4 linked regions of the Arabidopsis thaliana genome follow. The protein of the gene in region 2 purifies or fractionates together with the protein of the main gene of each other region. This does not show direct contact. Each region holds a gene or a part of one and is shown on either strand. Other genes may lie near its edges.

The links.
Region 1: the proteins of SERK1 (region 2) and GRF7 purify together in Arabidopsis thaliana (affinity purification with western blotting; one study listed by BioGRID). This does not show direct contact.
Region 3: the proteins of SERK1 (region 2) and AGL15 purify together in Arabidopsis thaliana (affinity purification with mass spectrometry, with the first as the bait; one study listed by BioGRID). This does not show direct contact.
Region 4: the proteins of SERK1 (region 2) and BBX12 purify together in Arabidopsis thaliana (affinity purification with mass spectrometry, with the first as the bait; one study listed by BioGRID). This does not show direct contact.

What each region holds. Positions count from the first base shown.
Region 1 is NC_003074.8:525,754-530,205, reverse strand, and holds GRF7 (general regulatory factor 7), read left to right. Parts: upstream 1-1,817; 5' UTR 1,818-1,948; exon of another isoform or gene 1,949-2,127; intron 2,128-2,262; 5' UTR 2,263-2,290; coding exon 2,291-2,767; intron 2,768-2,871; coding exon 2,872-2,994; intron 2,995-3,095; coding exon 3,096-3,212; intron 3,213-3,325; coding exon 3,326-3,406; 3' UTR 3,407-3,913; downstream 3,914-4,452. Other genes in the region: AT3G02530 (TCP-1/cpn60 chaperonin family protein), read left to right, coding at 233-437, 552-646, 750-818, 903-1,010, 1,106-1,224, 1,325-1,400. UniProt on the Arabidopsis thaliana protein: Is associated with a DNA binding complex that binds to the G box, a well-characterized cis-acting DNA regulatory element found in plant genes.
Region 2 is NC_003070.9:27,016,188-27,022,658, forward strand, and holds SERK1 (somatic embryogenesis receptor-like kinase 1), read left to right. Parts: upstream 1-1,970; 5' UTR 1,971-2,387; coding exon 2,388-2,475; intron 2,476-2,903; coding exon 2,904-3,036; intron 3,037-3,121; coding exon 3,122-3,193; intron 3,194-3,310; coding exon 3,311-3,454; intron 3,455-3,557; coding exon 3,558-3,629; intron 3,630-3,724; coding exon 3,725-3,796; intron 3,797-3,879; coding exon 3,880-3,992; intron 3,993-4,122; coding exon 4,123-4,254; intron 4,255-4,412; coding exon 4,413-4,754; intron 4,755-4,859; coding exon 4,860-5,254; intron 5,255-5,340; coding exon 5,341-5,655; 3' UTR 5,656-5,930; downstream 5,931-6,471. Other genes in the region: SEC6, read left to right, coding at 28-144, 224-286, 427-558; AT1G71840 (transducin family protein / WD-40 repeat family protein), read left to right, coding at 6,237-6,354, 6,440-6,471. UniProt on the Arabidopsis thaliana protein: Dual specificity kinase acting on both serine/threonine- and tyrosine-containing substrates. Phosphorylates BRI1 on 'Ser-887' and CDC48 on at least one threonine residue and on 'Ser-41'. Confers embryogenic competence.
Region 3 is NC_003076.8:4,448,358-4,452,848, forward strand, and holds AGL15 (AGAMOUS-like 15), read right to left. Parts: upstream 2,602-4,491; 5' UTR 2,446-2,601; coding exon 2,264-2,445; intron 2,092-2,263; coding exon 2,031-2,091; intron 1,963-2,030; coding exon 1,892-1,962; intron 1,788-1,891; coding exon 1,688-1,787; intron 1,617-1,687; coding exon 1,575-1,616; intron 1,363-1,574; coding exon 1,321-1,362; intron 1,247-1,320; coding exon 1,095-1,246; intron 937-1,094; coding exon 771-936; 3' UTR 505-770; downstream 1-504. Other genes in the region: AT5G13780 (Acyl-CoA N-acyltransferases (NAT) superfamily protein), read right to left, coding at 1-246; PPH (pheophytinase), read right to left, coding at 3,706-3,957, 4,040-4,196, 4,296-4,487. UniProt on the Arabidopsis thaliana protein: Transcription factor involved in the negative regulation of flowering, probably through the photoperiodic pathway. Acts both as an activator and as a repressor of transcription. Binds DNA in a sequence-specific manner in large CArG motif 5'-CC (A/T)8 GG-3'.
Region 4 is NC_003071.7:14,187,387-14,191,930, reverse strand, and holds BBX12 (B-box type zinc finger protein with CCT domain-containing protein), read left to right. Parts: upstream 1-1,676; 5' UTR 1,677-1,884; coding exon 1,885-2,601; intron 2,602-2,830; coding exon 2,831-2,980; intron 2,981-3,343; coding exon 3,344-3,591; intron 3,592-3,678; coding exon 3,679-3,772; 3' UTR 3,773-4,008; coding exon of another isoform or gene 4,009-4,011; 3' UTR 4,012-4,017; downstream 4,018-4,544. Other genes in the region: AT2G33490 (hydroxyproline-rich glycoprotein family protein), read right to left, coding at 4,265-4,276, 4,472-4,544.

The sequences.
Region 1 (4,452 bases), on a different chromosome or scaffold from region 2:
TGTGAGAAAAGCATGAAAAAATGTAGACGAAGATTGTGAAATCAAGTGAACTGAAATTTTAACCAAATAGAGAAAAGGTTATCCACTAAGAGTATTCACCTAGAATCTCTTAAATGCCTGGATCTTCCACCAAGCTTGTTTTTTTTTGTCTTGTGCTCTGTTTCTTGTGTCTACAAGTTGTTACAAGAGAATTATCTTTCTGTTCCTTATATATGTATATATGTATCTCCAGATAATCGCCCTTAGAAGGGCAAAGAGGAGGAACATGGAACGTTTGGTTTTGGCATGTGGTGGAGAAGCTGTGAACTCTGTCGATGACTTGACCCCTGATTGTCTTGGTTGGGCTGGACTTGTATATGAGCACGTTCTTGGAGAGGAGAAGTACACATTTGTTGAGCAAGTGAAGAATCCTCATTCATGTACTATCCTCATAAAAGGTACAAATGCCCAAACTTCTATCTCTTGCCAGCTAAGTTTTGAAGATCAATTTTGCTTATCTTCATATGTGTGGTCATTGATTATCTATGATTATGATTTGGTTTTCTTTATAGGGCCTAATGACCACACTATTGCTCAAATTAAGGACGCTGTCCGTGATGGTTTAAGATCAGTTAAGAATACCCTAGAAGATGAGTGTGTCGTATTAGTAAGTACCTTCTTCTCCACAAAGATCAAATCCATTGCTATATCAGTGTGATTGTTTTGGTTTTGGGCGCATGTGGTTTATTGACATCTGTTTCTTTCTGTAGGGAGCTGGAGCTTTTGAAGTTGCAGCAAGACAACACTTAATCAATGAAGTCAAGAAAACCGTTCAAGGGGTGAGTAGAAAGCAATATTCCTTTGCTCCAATACCAATTCTTGTTTTTTTCCGGTTGCTAATGTAAATTGTGGGCAAATTGCAGCGCGCTCAACTCGGTGTTGAAGCTTTTGCTAATGCCCTTCTCGTAGTGCCTAAGACGCTTGCTGAAAATGCTGGGCTTGACACTCAAGACGTTATCATTTCTCTAACGGTATTATTCTTGTATTTTCCTCTTCTGCCACTATCGATTATGCTCCAAGTAAAATTATGTTTGTGTTTATCTACTGAGTTTCGATGTATATACAGAGTGAGCATGACAAAGGAAACATCGTGGGACTAGACCTACAGGATGGAGAACCCGTCGACCCTCAGCTTGCCGGCATTTTCGACAATTACTCGGTGAAACGCCAACTTATCAATTCAGGGTATGTGCAGAACCAAATGGAAATTTGTATAATGGAGTCTTTTAATTCAGTTGCGGTTGAGTTCAGGTTGTTAAAACGGTTGTTTGGTATTGTATTGCAGGCCGGTGATTGCTTCGCAGTTGCTATTAGTGGATGAAGTGATTCGTGCAGGAAGAAATATGAGGAAGCCTACTTAAAACAAGACTATCTTTTGTTTTCAATTTTTTCTTACTTTCCCTTTCGTGTTTTGAGTATTAGCATATGAATACTATTTATTTTTTACTCGTTATCCTTTGTTGTCTTAGATAATTTTGAATGTATCTTTTTTTTCTATCTTTTGTATCAAACAAACATGATGAATGTTTTGATTGTGGTTTCTAGCGAAAACAGAACAAGATAAAGATTTCAGAATTTTAAGAAAATGGAACCAGATTTATGTGTAAACAAACGCAATTAAAAGTCAAATCAACAACAATGCACGGCATACTTTAATTGATTTTTATTTTTCTAGTAACGGAGTCAAGGCCCAATTAAATTATTTATTTTCCACGATCATTAAAGTCTTTAACGGGTCAACACCGTTAGACACTTGTCATACTATTACTGGGCCTTATTTTTCTCTTTACTTTCTCTGAAAATCAAAGCCCATCTCTTCTTCCTTTTTTTTCCCCTAATTTCTCACTTCCCCCTCATTTCGCGTCTCGACCTTCGAATTCGACAAATCCCTAATTCCAAAATCCTCTCGGTAAGCTACGGATCTAGTCTCTCTTTTGCTCATAGTTCGACGAAATCGTCTCTCTGTTGCTCGTTCATGTTTTCGTTTCGTTTTGTGGACTTAATCTTCTCTGTGTTCGTTGTTATCTGGAGATCTGGCAAAATCTCGAATGATTTTGATAGATTCTAGGTTTCTAGGTGTATCTATCGGTATAGTGTTCGTTTTGTCTTGATTTGTTGGTCTCGACGATTTATCTGTTGTTTCTTTTGTTTTGTTGGGAATAATGTTGATATAGCCAAGCTACTGTGATGTTGATGAAGTTTGAAATGAATTTTTGAAAACAGGATCTAAAAGAGTGTGTGATAACATAAGATGTCGTCTTCTCGGGAAGAGAATGTGTACTTAGCCAAGTTAGCTGAGCAAGCTGAACGTTATGAGGAAATGGTTGAGTTCATGGAGAAAGTTGCAAAGACTGTTGACACCGATGAGCTTACTGTCGAAGAGAGAAACCTCTTGTCTGTTGCTTACAAGAACGTCATTGGTGCTAGGAGAGCTTCCTGGAGGATCATATCTTCCATTGAACAGAAGGAAGAAAGCAGAGGAAACGATGATCATGTTTCCATTATCAAGGACTACAGAGGAAAGATCGAAACTGAACTCAGCAAAATCTGTGATGGAATACTCAATCTTCTGGATTCTCACCTTGTTCCCACTGCATCTTTGGCCGAGTCCAAAGTCTTTTACCTCAAAATGAAAGGAGATTACCACAGGTACCTTGCTGAGTTTAAGACTGGAGCTGAGAGGAAAGAAGCTGCTGAGAGCACTCTGGTTGCTTACAAGTCAGCTCAGGTAAACTCTTTAAGTTTCAACATCTATCTATCTTATTTTGCTGCTTGAGACCAGTAAAGGAGCTGTCATGATGAATGCTTATGTGTGTTTTTCTTCTAATGTAGGATATTGCACTTGCTGATTTAGCTCCTACTCATCCGATTAGACTGGGACTTGCTCTTAACTTCTCTGTCTTCTACTACGAGATTCTCAACTCACCTGATCGTGCCTGCAGTCTCGCAAAACAGGTTTGTATTTTGTCATACGGGATGTTATGATGCTTCCAGACTTTGTAACACTTATTCCAGCACCAAATTGCTTAATGATATTCTCTCAATTGTTTTGACAGGCTTTTGATGAGGCCATTTCTGAGCTGGATACATTAGGAGAAGAATCATACAAAGACAGTACGTTGATAATGCAACTTCTCCGTGACAATCTGACCCTTTGGAACTCTGACATCAATGTACACCTTTGTCTTCCTCCTTTTGCTTTTCCCTATAAACTCTTATATATGCAGTCTAAGCTTCTTTTACTCAGAAATTTCTCTCAAACGCTGATTGTGTTGCTGATTTTTAGGATGAGGCGGGCGGTGATGAGATCAAGGAGGCGTCAAAACATGAGCCGGAAGAGGGGAAACCAGCTGAGACAGGGCAGTGACCAGAGAGAGAGGGAGAGACATTTCTAAGTATGTATGGTATGGATTTTCCAAAAACATATGATATGATTAGGGGATTTGTAGAAGCAGAGAGAAAGATCTTTATTTGATTTTCTCCAAAAATCTCTGTTCCCTTTTTTTTTTATTGGGTTATTAAAGCTGTTTGAGTCTTTGGTTCCTGCTTCGTTGCTTGTTAGTATTTAGGAAGTGAAGAAACAAAACTTTGAATTATTGCTTTCCATTCAACTCGTCATAAATTATCATAATCAGTGTATTATTTACTTAGTTCTTATTAGGGTATTCTGATTTTTGCTTAACGCAACAGAATTTGTGTTAACCCATTTTTAAAGAATCTTCAATCTTGTATCATTGGTCGGGTCAGTCGGATATATGGTCCGCTTTTGGTTTAAGACCGGAACAACGAAAGCCGGGGATATTGAGCCTTTCTGATGATGCGCCTCCGGGCGGTAATGCTATTGGGACATGGATTACATTCTGATCAATAGGGACTAATAGTATGGATTTACTTTGTACTTCAGACTAGGGTTTTTTTTTTTTTTTTTTTTTTTTTTTTTTTAAATATTATTAATCCTCATCCCAAATGACCTTGGGCCGCAACAAAAACAACATCAAATCCAGTTACAAAATTAGCAAATCGGAAAACATGTCGGCAAAGAAGGAAGATCGCCGCTTGTTGATGGAAGCTAGCAGAGAGACCGGAGCATTAGATCCGGCGGGCTCAAGCCCTACAGTTTCGAGGCCGCAACCGATGCTCGAGAAACTCCGACGAAAGAGACCGGTTTTCGTCCTCGAATCAACCCCACCGGCGCACCAACCCACCACAAGACTCCCAGAAAGCTAGTCTCCCCAACAAGCACATCGACGGCACCGGATTCTGAAGAAGCAATCCGATACACTGGACGGTAACCCTTCCTTCCCAAACCGGTACAGATCCGAAATCCCAGAGCTATTGCGTTTCAACCGGCTCGATGGATGCAAAATTGTGACAAATCTAAAGGAAGGTGGCTCAACCGAAGCCTTCAGATCC
Region 2 (6,471 bases):
AATATTTCCACTGGAACTGTGTTACAGAAAGTGGAGAGCAGAATCAGAATAATGAGCGATCTGAGAGAACTTGCATCTGCAGAGAGTCTAGATGCATTTACACTCGTGTACTCGAATATTCTAGAGCACCAGCCTGACTGCCCGGTAAATATTATCTAAACAAAGCCTGCTCTGGCTTTTTACAATATCAGTATACACAGAATCTCTAATATATGGTATGCAGGCCGAGGTCGTAGAGAAGCTTGTTAGTCTGCGTGAAGGCATACCACGGAAGGACACAAAAGAGGTAAACATACCAAACTCTCTTTTTTGGAAAATGCTGGGTTATAATTGTAGCGAATCACATGGATTTTTAAACTATGGTTACGAGACTTCAAATGGCGAAGAATTCTTAAATTGACGAAATGGTTATGGTGATGAAAACAGGTGGTACAAGAGTGCAAAGAGATATATGAGAACACACTGGTAGATGGTAATCCTCCAAAGACAGGATTTGTATTCCCGAGAGTCAAGTGCTTAACTGCTTCCAAAGGATCTATGTGGCGAAAACTCACTTAATCTGTAAAACAGCGTTCAGCGTTTGCGTCCGTAACTGCTTTTCTAGTTGAGATGATGTTCTTTCTCCAAATTATGGCGTTTGCGTCCATGTCTTCTTTTTCTTTGCATGGTATCTTTCCTCTGTAAATTCTGTGTTTTCTCTTGTTTTGTTCTTTTTCTTACCTTTATTCCTGGATTTGAAAGTTGAAACGCTCGGTGGCCACTTGCACTAGGATATTATCCCGTTGTATTTAGGAGGCGTATTTTTTTGTCGCAAATTTTAATTCTACTGTTTCATTTAATTTTGATAAAATCTTCTTAAAGTTCGTTTCTCTTTCATAACAAGGTAGCTCTTATTGTTTTTAGAATTATTTCTGATTTGTGAAATTTTGAATTTGAAGCATATTTTTATCATGAATATAAAAAATGTTGGGGATTATAAAAAAGTTTGTAAATTCACTCATTGGCAGCTGATTTAGCCACTCACAATATCTAAATAAATAATTGTAAGCATTATCTTGAAATATTTTCTGAAATGACTGTTTCTTTTTTACTTTAATTAAATTTTGTTCTAGAAACCTTTTGATCATAATGAAAATAAAGAGTCCATCCACCACATGGGGTAAGCATAATGTGTGATATTTAAAGGGTAACAAATGTAATCTGCTTTTTATTTTACTTTTTACCTCTACTCAAATTGTATGGGCAGTTTTTTTTTTTTTTTTAAATGATAAGACAAGTATCTGTTTAATGGTATTGTGATGAAACAGTAGTAAAGTCATATCGGGCACGCCATACTACTTCCACAGTGGAACTTGGCCAAATTTTGTCTTTGCCGTCTCTACAGTTTCTTCCACCAAATTTTTTGTTGACAAAACTCAAATCTTTCAATCTCATCTCTGCCAAAGTTGGGTTTAGAAAGAATATCAGCAAACACTAATATCTTTATTGTTGCATGGTTTATCAATCACAAAATTCACAACCATTGTAAAAAAAAATTCACATTTTTGGTATGAGATTGCTCACATGATAGTGAACCTCTTTAACATTTTAACTTTACTTTCATAAATACGGGATTACGAATCTTACTTGCATTAAAAATTTAGAAAAGGTTTTTCTACTTAAAGAAAAAAGGGACCCAACAGAGAGAGGTTTGACCAGGAGAAACGGGTGCATAGCCTTAAGAGCTTTCAACTACTTTACCCCAAACCCAAAGCGATGTCACTTTCAACCATCTCTTCTCTCCCCCGAACCCGTTTTTTTGACCGGTCAGTTCGGGCAGCAGCACCGTTACGGGCAGCTTATATTCCTCGTCTTCCTCCTCTACACCACTGCATGCCCATAAATAAAGCCCGTTGAGATCTTTAAAAATATTAAATAATATATCAACGAAAAAGCTATTTTATTCATAAGAAGAAAAAGAGAGGAACAACAACAACACACTAATCATAGTTTCTCTGGCAGGCTTGTTGTTGCGGCTTAATAAAAAGCTCTTTTGTTATTATTACTTCACGTAGATTTTCCCCAAAAAGCTCTTATTTTTTTGTTTAAAAAAAAAAGTTTCATCTTTATTCAACTTTTGTTTTACAGTGTGTGTGTGAGAGAGAGAGTGTGGTTTGATTGAGGAAAGACGACGACGAGAACGCCGGAGAATTAGGATTTTGATTTTATTTTTTACTCTTTGTTTGTTTTAATGCTAATGGGTTTTTAAAAGGGTTATCGAAAAAATGAGTGAGTTTGTGTTGAGGTTGTCTCTGTAAAGTGTTAATGGTGGTGATTTTCGGAAGTTAGGGTTTTCTCGGATCTGAAGAGATCAAATCAAGATTCGAAATTTAGCATTGTTGTTTGAAATGGAGTCGAGTTATGTGGTGTTTATCTTACTTTCACTGATCTTACTTCCGAATCATTCACTGTGGCTTGCTTCTGCTAATTTGGAAGGTTCGTGGTTACTCAATTACTCAGCTTTACTCGTTTCTCAATTACTTTCTCGATTCTTTTTTATTTGGAGGTGAATCGCTATCTTTAGTGTCTGCATTTTGATTTATGAAAATTGTTGTTGTTCTTTGTATTTGTAAGATTTAGTGGCTAGTACTTTGAATACACTGTTTTGCTTTTCTTGTTCAGATCAACTTTGTATATTGTAAAGGCATGTTCTTTGGGTTGAAAAGCTGGGTTATTTGATATCTTAAGATTGATGTTGTTGATCCAAACATTCTCTGAAAGACTTCATTTGTTTTTGGTTTTGTAAAGAATTTGTTTAATTATTAGCCTCTAATCTCAGAGAGGCCTGTTTGAATAGTTCTCTCTTGAAATTAGACTTTTCACCAATTGATGCTAATTGTGTAGATTTGTTGTTCTTGTTATAGGTGATGCTTTGCATACTTTGAGGGTTACTCTAGTTGATCCAAACAATGTCTTGCAGAGCTGGGATCCTACGCTAGTGAATCCTTGCACATGGTTCCATGTCACTTGCAACAACGAGAACAGTGTCATAAGAGTGTAAAGCTTTCTTCTACTAATCCCACTTTTTAAACTTTGACCTCAGCGTGGTTACCGACATTTTTGTTTCTTTTGTCAAATACAGTGATTTGGGGAATGCAGAGTTATCTGGCCATTTAGTTCCAGAGCTTGGTGTGCTCAAGAATTTGCAGTATTTGTAAGTTCCACTTATGCATCATGCTTTAACAAAACAAATCCAAGATTTGACAGAAGAAGCACTGGAGTTACCTTTTGTAATTGAAATCTTTTTAACAAGTTTCTTATTTTCTTACAGGGAGCTTTACAGTAACAACATAACTGGCCCGATTCCTAGTAATCTTGGAAATCTGACAAACTTAGTGAGTTTGGATCTTTACTTAAACAGCTTCTCCGGTCCTATTCCGGAATCATTGGGAAAGCTTTCAAAGCTGAGATTTCTGTGAGTATACATATGCTTTACCGGCTCAGTTACAGTCTTTGTTTAATCTTAGGTTTTGTTCCAATTTTTGACTCTTTGCTGAAAATTTTACATGCAAGAATAGCCGGCTTAACAACAACAGTCTCACTGGGTCAATTCCTATGTCACTGACCAATATTACTACCCTTCAAGTGTTGTGAGTCCTCTCATTAACTTTCATTTATGTCTACTTCATTCTCCCTCAGTTGATTTGTTGAGTTAATGCACTTAACCTTGATGGATGCAACACAGAGATCTATCAAATAACAGACTCTCTGGTTCAGTTCCTGACAATGGCTCCTTCTCACTCTTCACACCCATCAGGTTCTATGATTTATCCTCTTCAGTTATTTCAGTTGTTGTGTCAGTGTCTGAACTTATTCTGAAACTTTCATTTCCTTGTGCAGTTTTGCTAATAACTTAGACCTATGTGGACCTGTTACAAGTCACCCATGTCCTGGATCTCCCCCGTTTTCTCCTCCACCACCTTTTATTCAACCTCCCCCAGTTTCCACCCCGAGTAAGCCTCCTCTTTTTAGTTTACATTATAGGAAACAGAAGATGAAATCTTTGCTTCTCTGTCAATCCTTTTTCTCATATAACTCATCTTGCCAATAAGGCAATAACCAAATGATCTAATTTGATTTCAGGTGGGTATGGTATAACTGGAGCAATAGCTGGTGGAGTTGCTGCAGGTGCTGCTTTGCTCTTTGCTGCTCCTGCAATAGCCTTTGCTTGGTGGCGACGAAGAAAGCCACTAGATATTTTCTTCGATGTCCCTGGTGAGTTTATTATTCGCATTAGTTTCTGTTCTTAGCCAGCAATTTTGTTTTGCAGAAAAGTATTGGAACAACTGTTAATGAAAATCAATACATAAGTCATTGTTTTTTAAGTTACAAACTCTTTTGAGTAAAATCTCGATTGCAAAATCTCTTTGCAGCCGAAGAAGATCCAGAAGTTCATCTGGGACAGCTCAAGAGGTTTTCTTTGCGGGAGCTACAAGTGGCGAGTGATGGGTTTAGTAACAAGAACATTTTGGGCAGAGGTGGGTTTGGGAAAGTCTACAAGGGACGCTTGGCAGACGGAACTCTTGTTGCTGTCAAGAGACTGAAGGAAGAGCGAACTCCAGGTGGAGAGCTCCAGTTTCAAACAGAAGTAGAGATGATAAGTATGGCAGTTCATCGAAACCTGTTGAGATTACGAGGTTTCTGTATGACACCGACCGAGAGATTGCTTGTGTATCCTTACATGGCCAATGGAAGTGTTGCTTCGTGTCTCAGAGGTAAAAACTAAACATCTTGTGCTCTCTCTCAATTACTTTGACGTGAAGTGTTTTTTCATGTTTTCCTTTATGGGTTCATAATTGTTGGTTACACTAATGACACAGAGAGGCCACCGTCACAACCTCCGCTTGATTGGCCAACGCGGAAGAGAATCGCGCTAGGCTCAGCTCGAGGTTTGTCTTACCTACATGATCACTGCGATCCGAAGATCATTCACCGTGACGTAAAAGCAGCAAACATCCTCTTAGACGAAGAATTCGAAGCGGTTGTTGGAGATTTCGGGTTGGCAAAGCTAATGGACTATAAAGACACTCACGTGACAACAGCAGTCCGTGGCACCATCGGTCACATCGCTCCAGAATATCTCTCAACCGGAAAATCTTCAGAGAAAACCGACGTTTTCGGATACGGAATCATGCTTCTAGAACTAATCACAGGACAAAGAGCTTTCGATCTCGCTCGGCTAGCTAACGACGACGACGTCATGTTACTTGACTGGGTAATAACAACATAAAACTTCCATTTGACCCCAACAAAAACCATTGAAACGAGAATCTAATCTCAAATACTTGTTTGTTGGTTTAGGTGAAAGGATTGTTGAAGGAGAAGAAGCTAGAGATGTTAGTGGATCCAGATCTTCAAACAAACTACGAGGAGAGAGAACTGGAACAAGTGATACAAGTGGCGTTGCTATGCACGCAAGGATCACCAATGGAAAGACCAAAGATGTCTGAAGTTGTAAGGATGCTGGAAGGAGATGGGCTTGCGGAGAAATGGGACGAATGGCAAAAAGTTGAGATTTTGAGGGAAGAGATTGATTTGAGTCCTAATCCTAACTCTGATTGGATTCTTGATTCTACTTACAATTTGCACGCCGTTGAGTTATCTGGTCCAAGGTAAAAAAAAAAAACATAAAATTATTGAACAATAACAAATTTTACAAGGTAGGTAGTTTTTTTACCCGTAAGTTTTCGTTTTTTTTAATTGTTAATGTAAAATGAAATCTAGCATTCAAAGATTTGTGATTTTGTGCTATGGTTCGATTAAAAGGGAAAAAAATTGTAATCTAAAGATTTGTGTAAGATTACTGTCTATTGTATGAAGTATGAACTATGAACACAATATATGTACATCCAAAAATACGTTAAACTAACTCCGCTGTTTTGCTACAAAAACCCTTTCAATTTTGTTCTACTAAACGTCGTTAGAATACACAAAAGCGAAACAGCGTCGTTTATTTATAATGCGCTACTCACATGACGCCGTTTCACTTTTGTGTATACAAACGACGTCGTTTAATAGAAAAATTTTTGGAAGGGTTTTTGTTGGGAAAAAAAGAGAAGAAGGGTTTTTGTACTTTGTGTCTTCTTGTTCCATCATCGTGACACGTCACACCTCCATTCATCTCCGCCGTCCTCTTCCTGTTCTTAGTCGCGGCTGGAAAAAACTGTGGTGAGAGAGAGAAGAAGAAGAAGAAGAAGATGAGTAATAATACTAATAATACAGAGATGAATAATCTAGCGATGGAAGAAGAGGATGAAGGAGAGATTTTCCTTGGTGAATCCGATGTCCTCCGTGAAATCGATGTCGACGAAGAAGGTTTTTTTTTATCTCCTTCAATCGTGATTTTTTTATCGTATGTATATATGTGTATGTGTATGTGACTCTTCTATTTTCGATTCAGATCTTCCTGAAGCAGATGATGATGATATGGAC
Region 3 (4,491 bases), on a different chromosome or scaffold from region 2:
GCGATGGGTACGAAGAACGGCGAGAGAAGTGATGTGGCCGTGGCACTCGTTGCTCTCTTCCTCCATCTTAGCCAAGACATAGCCAACGATGCGACCATTGTAGTCCTCGGCGACGTAGAGAAGCTGAGGCCATGAGAGGATATGGTAGAGGTAGTACTTCATCTGGTAGTTCTCAGGAAGACACATGAGATTGCAGGCTTGCATCGCCAGCAGATCATCCACCGTCGCTCGCCTGATGCAAACCATGGCTGCTCAATTGCTCTCGCGCGGATAAAGAGGGGTTAGGGTTTTCGGTCTAATGCCTTTGGGCTTTATTAATCTGGGGACGAATTGTAATTATAGAGAAATATGAGGTCTTTATTGAAACTTTTGCTTATATTTTAGGGGCATTTAATGAAATTCATTATAAACTTTTTCAGTTTAGGATTTGAGGTCCAATTGGGCCTTGATTGTAATGGAGTAGGAAGATTCCGATAACCTTCACTTTCTATAAGCTTATTTCTCCGCAAATTTTCTTACTATACGAGATGTCAAATAACTCTGTGCCTTGTAAAGATTATGGATTTCAAACTCTCAGCTAGGCATATCTTTTTTATAGGAGAGACAGTCGAGAAATAATCAAAAGAAGAAGGACAAAGAGAGTTGGTGCAGAGATTAGATAACTGAATCTTCTCTTCTTTTTGCAAGTATCCCTCTAAAATTACTTTTAAAACAATCGGATACTTGCTAAAGAGGAAACATTAGTAGCCTTCTCCCATACTTTTCTAGGACTAAACAGAGAACCTTTGTCTTTTGGCTTCAGGTGGAGAATTTGCTAAACTAGACTGATCCCCTCTTTCTGCAGTTTCGCTGCTCGTGTTTGTTGTCACTGAATCGCTTGACGGGCTCTCTCTTTCTCCTTCATTCGTCCTTCTATCATGTGCCTCTCCCGGCAACCTTGGAGAAAACACAAGTAGTAAGAATTTTATAACTCCAGTTAGTGAGTGTTAAGGCATATGCATAACTAACAGAGGAGGAAAAAGACTTATATTTATCTTAAATCAGCTTTCCAATAATGCAACCAATGACAGCAAATAGACTTAAAAGAGCAATACCCTAATTGCAAAGTTGTGTCTGAATCGGTGTTCTGGAGGCTGCATTTACTGTCGTGGTTTATGAGAGCGTTCTTTGGATCTATAGCAAAGCATTTGATGTAGGATGGAACATAGTGGGTGAACGACGGGAGAAAGCTCCTCAGTTCTTGAACCTGTTTCAACAAGTAATTACAAGTCAGAGGAAGAAGCGTTCATTAGGAGATGATTCAACAAAAATAATAAGAACCTGTCTACGCAAGGTCTCGTTTTCCAACTCTGCTCGTTGTTCCTGCAAAGTATATATATGGCTAATCAAGAAACGAATTATACTTTTGCACTCTGTACCTAGTTATATAGGAGTCTTAAGACAAATAAACTGCACACTAGCTAGTTAGAGCATGAGCTTGTCAAAGGATAGCCACTGGTTTTAACAAGGTTCAGAATCATGTGATTACACATAAGCTTACATTTGGAAGCTAGAGAGGAAAAGCTAGTGTTTACCTTGAGGCGTGATTCTTCAAGTTGGTTAGTCAGCAATCGTTCCTGAAATCAGATAACCATAATCAGGACAATGCAAAGAGAAATGATGATGGAAGAGTGATATTACTAGTTACCTTTCGCTCTCTGACAGTAATCAATGCATGATATAGTTGCTGCTCAAGGCTTTGCAGCTCTTTAAAGGTCAGAGGATTCAAGCCCTTGCCCTGCAGTTGTCTACAACAGAACAGAACACACAAAGCCAAACACTAAAAACAAACACAAAGTAGAGAAGAATAAAGTAATGAACAAGCATAGTGAGATTTATTTAGTTTCCATACAAATGTTTCTCTTGAAGCTTTGAAAGTTGATCCTTTAAAATATCCACCTCTGCACAATCCTCCTGGAGGTTCTAAACAGCAATCAGATTTTCAAAAAAACAATTTCAAGATATATGAGACAAGAATGAATGATTCTCACCTCTGCTTTAGAAGCTGAAGAACTCTGGTGATTACCGTATCTGGAAAGTGTTTGCTTCATTCTAAAATCAAATGAGAATTCAAAATTAGGACTCTCTTCAGCTCAATCAGAAAACTTTTAATCTTAACAAACATGCAAAAACAAAAATCAATTACAGTTCCCGAAATCGATTCTAATCACAACAAGACAAGACATGCAAAAACAAAATTGAATCAAAAAGAAATAAGTGTTACCCAGTACTGGAGTACTCGAAGAGCTTGCCAGACTTAGAGAAGACGATGACAGCAACTTCAGCATCACAAAGAACAGAGAGCTCACGAGCTTTCTTAAGTAACCCAGAACGCCTCTTGGAAAAAGTGACTTGTCTGCTATTCGCATTCTCGATCCTCTTTATCTCGATTTTTCCACGACCCATTTTCCCCCAAAATTGAACAGAGAGAAGAAGGTAGAAGGAAGAAGAAGAAGAGGAAAGGTTCAATGTATTCCAAAATGGGTTTAGAAGTGCTTTTTGGGAATCTATTAATGGGAACACAAAAGATTGCTAAATTTGGATGGAATATTTTTGTTTTTATAGAAAAAAGAAAGAAAGGTAAAAACTCGGTAATGAATGTTGTGTGTTGCATGGCCACTGTTTTGCGTGCTCTCTTTTTTCAATTTTAGGGTTTTTTGCATGATACCTTTTTGCCACATTTGGAGGATTTTGTCAGTTCTTCTGGGTCCTACTTTCCCTTTTCTTCCTAAAGTTGTTTTTTTCTTTCCTCTTTTTTCCTTCCCTTTAAAATTAGATTTATTAGTACTAGTGTATTTTCTCTTTAATGTTGTTGTAAGACATAAATCAGACCAACAATGTTGACCGACATAAAAATAAAAAAAAGTTCAGAGCAACAATTAGAAACAATTTCAAAGTACCCCCAAGAATAAAATTGCAACAACTAGCATTGTTTGATGGTTACCATTATGTTATCAACTAGTGAGAGATAAAAAAACATACTGAGAAGTAATTTCTTACAACTAGTGTAGAACGACACTTTAGTAGCAGCTTTGTAACACCGGTTTTTTTTTTTTGACACTCAAATCAATAAATAGATAACGAGATTTTATCAGAGACTAAGAAACAAATTAAGAAAAGAAGCAGACCAAATCTCATGTTGGATATATAGCCTGTGTAAGTAAGTTTCTCAAAAGTGGTTTGGATAGCCTTCTAATTCAGTCCCTTATTTGTTGACCGTGGAACTGACAAAAATGAGATTCAAGCTAAGGGAAGAATATGGTCAAGGATACGACTTTGCCTCGAGAAAAGTAACCAATGATACGTCTTTTCAAACACCATACATGTTCAATAAAACTGTTCACCTTTGGAAATTATTAACAATTCAAATACACTCACTTTCTTCTTTTGGAATCAGAGTAATTTCAAGCTCTCTTCCAATTTTTAAGACAACTCATATGGCCTGCAATGTCGCCTTCCTATATTAATCTGAACCTGTGGATTATATACAACAATGCAAGAAAGGAGTTCCTTCGATTTAGGTGACTAACTATCAAGTAGATATTTTTCTAACTTTTCCTTTTGAACATTTTAGAAACTTGATTCTACAGACAACATTATATAGCTAGCATCGGATGCAACATAGATTACAATTAATTTACACTAGACGACTGTTCCATGCTTCTTCTATGCAGACTTCCCTCCAAACACCCTTATAAAACTGGATCTGAAAGATTCTCTAACTCCTCTCCAGTACGTATAGTTTGACCCATATAACCACAGATTCACTGCTTTTTTCCAACCATCTCTCGGGAACTCAATTTCTCTACCAATCCTGGACTCCTCCCAATCTTCTTCAGTGTCCTCCAAAAGCGGGAGCGCTTCAAAACCACCAGACTCCAGGTGCTTGATCCACCCGCGCATCAGATAGTTCACCACCTGCTCGTTTTCATATCCCAAATGGTGGGTTCATTATACCTAATTGCAGAGTTTGAAGAATTTATTGACTAGTTCATTATACCTCAGGGACTTCATCGTGTGGGCAGTGACCCGCTGGGCTGATCTCGTAGTATGGAGCGTTGGGGATTTCCTTCTTTATCTTCTTTCCCCATAACGGTCTCACCCATGGATCTTCTCTTCCATACATGAGACATATCTGAACATTGTTTTCCTTACACCTAGCATAAACCATCAAATAGCAGCATTCCTCATAAGCAATAACACCAATCACGCAGAGTAAAAAACATATAAAAACAAGAAACCACACTGTCTTATACCTAGATAAAGCTTCGGAGAAAGATAGCTCTCCACCAGGAGCAAGCATGATTGAAGCAAACGATGCTGCAGCAGCCGGATGCTGTGTGACCTCCACAATACGTGAGAATACTTTATCCACATTGATAGAATGGTCTGTGTAGACCTGTTTAAGTATCTCAGCTATGCTTTCAGGATCACTTATCTTTTGCCACCTGC
Region 4 (4,544 bases), on a different chromosome or scaffold from region 2:
TTTTACACCATACCATTATATATATAGGGAATAAAGGTATTGTCTGGAGGAAAATGACGTTTCCGTAAACAAAATAATGATAAAACAAAAATAGTGAAAAGAGTGAAAGAGAGAAGTGCAAAAGGGAATCTGTTGGAAGTGTAGAAAGAGAAAGCGACGACCACTTCAATCCAGTGTTGTTCTTTCTTTCTTTTTTCCTAGAAAATTAAAGATATTGCTTTTTACCAAATAATAATTTTATCTTGGTGGTAGAAAGGTTTGCAAGAGTTGTAATATACAGAAAGAGAGACAATGGGACCTAAGAAGGGAATCTCTGAGGAGAGACAGAGATGTTTCAGATCGAAAGAGACGCCAAATTGTGTCTGTCACTCTGTTCTTGTGTGTGGGTCTCCTCTCCTTCCTTCCTTATCGAATCCATATTCCATTTTGCTTTTTTTTCCCTAGAAGATTTTTAAGAATCCGAATTTTAACATAATCTTTTGTTTAGTATAATTCACTTTCCTTCTTTTTTAATTACTTTTTAAGGGTTCTTTAAAGGTTGTGTTTAGTTAAATTTTCGTTTCTCTATTATGAATTCAAGTGATATAGAGAATAAAGATTTAAGTGATATAGATGATAAAAGTTCACTTGTTAAAGAATAGTTGAATATTGAAGTCCTTTATGGTTTCGAAACCGAATTTACAACGTGATTTTCTGTAGGTTTTCTACATAATAAAGAATCAAAATTCGTAAAAGTAAGAATATAGAATATCCATTCCAAGTGAGTTTGAAACACATAATAGCTAAGTAACATGTGAAAAAACCTTAGGGCATAGGAAAATAGCAAAGGTTGGATGTTTTGTTTCTCGCACCACATAATGGGCAATGATTGTAACACCATTCATCTTCTATTCATATAACAACACAAGTACACAACCAATAATGATTTGTCACATAGGTGAAAGCGACACATGTGTGGGAGGAAAATTATGTTCGCTGAGCTTGATGAATCAATGAGAGAAAACATGGCTTTAAGAGATGAATCAAAGATGGATGTAAAAGGTAAAAAACACATCCTCATCCGATTGAAAAGTGGAAATCAGTAATTTATTTCCAACGTTTACTATATTCCAAACCTATGGACAAACATCTTGAGTTTTGGACAATTCTTAGAGATATGTTATTGATATTCGACTAAAAGATAATAACCTTTCTAAAAGAGACCAAGAAAGCAATCTCGTTACCAAGATACCAATGTCAAAAATAGAATGTTGTTATTGACATTCAAAATGACATTGCACAATGTTTCAAGATGTGCTACAACAGAACTTGCAAGATTTTTGGATATTTGGATACTTGGTGTGAATTCATGGCTGGATTTAGGATATGTTCCTAGTATATATATATTGACTTATTTGTTTTCTAAATTGCCAAATAATGATCATCTGGAACGATTTACGAGTTAGTAAACTTCGTACATGTGAAATATTCTCCTTATCGATCATGTCGTTAACATCCTAACGTCCCATCCAAATAATGGGCTTAGAATTGGGCTTAGCAGAAACATGGGCTAAAATCCTTGTGCGTGGATCTGAAAGAAAGGCAGCCAATTAATGTGCCTAAATCCATACACTGTAATGCAGCCAATTATTTCTCAAGTAATTAATTACCTATGTAAATGCAACTTTATTTCCGGTACAACAGTTAGATATTTTCAATTAATGACATCTTCTTCTTCTCCTTTCACTGCAAAACCGAAAGCTTGAGACTTTGAGATTATGTCTATGTCATCTTCTTCTTCTTCCATCGATCACTTCATCACCTTTCGTCATCTTGATCTTATTCTCCACTGTATAAAATCAGCGAGATTTTAAGGGATTGTGAAGGTACCATCTTAAACACAAAATGGGTACTTCTACTACAGAGAGTGTGGTGGCGTGTGAATTTTGCGGCGAGAGAACGGCGGTTCTGTTTTGTAGAGCCGATACGGCGAAGCTTTGTTTGCCTTGTGACCAGCACGTGCACTCGGCGAACCTTCTCTCGAGGAAGCATGTTCGTTCTCAGATCTGTGATAACTGTAGCAAAGAGCCGGTGTCCGTACGTTGCTTCACAGATAATCTCGTATTGTGTCAGGAGTGTGATTGGGATGTTCACGGAAGCTGTTCCTCCTCCGCGACGCATGAACGCTCCGCCGTGGAAGGGTTTTCAGGTTGTCCTTCGGTTTTGGAGCTTGCTGCTGTGTGGGGAATCGATTTAAAGGGTAAGAAGAAAGAAGATGACGAAGACGAATTGACTAAGAATTTTGGGATGGGGTTGGATTCGTGGGGTTCTGGATCTAACATCGTTCAAGAACTGATTGTTCCTTATGATGTGTCTTGCAAAAAGCAAAGCTTTAGCTTTGGGAGGTCTAAGCAGGTAGTGTTTGAACAGCTTGAGTTACTGAAGAGAGGCTTCGTTGAAGGCGAAGGAGAGATTATGGTTCCGGAGGGAATCAATGGCGGAGGAAGCATTTCTCAGCCATCTCCGACGACGTCGTTTACTTCTTTGCTTATGTCTCAAAGTCTTTGTGGTAATGGTATGCAATGGAATGCTACTAATCATAGCACTGGCCAGAACACTCAGGTCCATTTCTCTATCTCTCTCTGGCAATTGATTTTAGGGTTTTAAGTTTGGTCATGTGTTCTTGCTTTTGTGCTTAGAACATGTTACAGTAACTTCAGTTGGATCTTTAGGTCTCCAAATCTGTTAAGTTACCTGTCGGAACGTTGATTATTCTTTCTTGGTTGTCCTAATTAGAGATAAGACTCTGTTTTATGGCCTGGGGTTCACAGTGGAATATACGTTGTTGCAGATATGGGATTTTAACTTGGGACAGTCGAGGAACCCTGATGAACCTAGTCCAGTCGAAACTAAAGGCTCTACTTTCACATTCAACAACGTTACTCATCTCAAGAACGATACCCGAACCACCAATATGAATGCTTTCAAAGAGAGTTACCAGGTATTACATTGTTATTAGGTTTGGAATTGTAAACCATTTTATTTATCTCACAAATTGACAAACACAACGCACATTGCAGAACGTAATTAGAGTTTGTTCTATAGACAATAAACTCCCCCGATCCCTAAATTCAATCCCAAAACACTCCATACCTTAAACATTTGAATATTCCCTCATATATAGCTTAAGTTGGTGACTGATATACTGGTCTGGTAGTAGCTACATCTCATGGGTTTATTTCTATTGGTTAGAACATCTTGGAATGAATGAAACCTGATGTATTTATATCATAATTGATAAGTCAAACTACTATTTTTGGTATATCTTTGTCGGTGAACTGTGATACTTATAAGTAGAATGTAGCAGGAGGATTCCGTCCACTCAACTTCTACCAAGGGACAGGAAACATCTAAGAGCAACAATATTCCTGCTGCCATTCACTCGCATAAAAGTTCTAACGACTCCTGTGGCTTGCATTGCACGGAACATATTGCTATTACTAGTAATAGAGCCACAAGATTGGTGGCGGTAACGAATGCTGATCTAGAGCAGATGGCACAGAACAGAGATAATGCTATGCAGCGGTACAAGGAAAAGAAGAAAACGCGGAGGTAATGATGTTCTCCATTTTTTCTTTTAGTTTCCCTTTTGTAAGTTGATTGTCTTTCGAAATCGCTAATTTGTAATTGCTTCAGCAGATATGATAAGACCATAAGATATGAAACGAGGAAGGCGAGAGCCGAGACCAGGTTGCGTGTTAAGGGCAGATTTGTGAAAGCTACAGATCCTTAGATGTCTCTCCACGTTAGGTTTTACATTTGAGATCCTAAGTTAGGAACTTTTTTTGTTTTTTCTACTTTCAACTACCTTGTAAATGTAAATGATCGATCTTCAGCTGCATAATGTGTGGCCAGATTTTTGTAATTTTTACGTTTAACCTTCTAGAAGCAAAGTTTCTTAACCCAATCAAAAGAAGACAGACTCCACAGAAGTTAAACCCGTAAATCTCGGACGTAAAACATGTCACATCACTGGACAAAAAAAAAAAAAAAAGCTTCGTTGAGTGATAGTAGAAAAACCAAAATTCCTCAGGCAATTATTATTAACTCTGTTTGCCTCTATTTTTGTCATCATTCTCAAAAGGGATCAACTACTATATGTAATATACAACTAAGATCATCCATGAGACTAAAAATTGGAGGATATTTACATATATCTGCAACTATAGGGAATGCCTTCCTCCTACAGTTTTTAGGCAGCTACAAACGTCTTACACCTTACATCTTAAATCCTCCTCTGCAAATTCACCAATTAGAACGTATATCAGCAATTCTAGATTTTACACTTAAGCAGAACTTTGCGGAACACATGAAGGGAACCAAAAATCGGATTGCCCACATCTACTTAAACGTGACACACATGATGACTTTTTTACTCTAAACCACACAAAAAACTAATAGACAGTGAAAAGAAGTAAAATTAATGGTTTACCTCTTGTTTGGACATCATTAGGTGGTCTGCACGTTCGGGAAGAGCCTGTGGCGGTGGATGGATCAATGACATT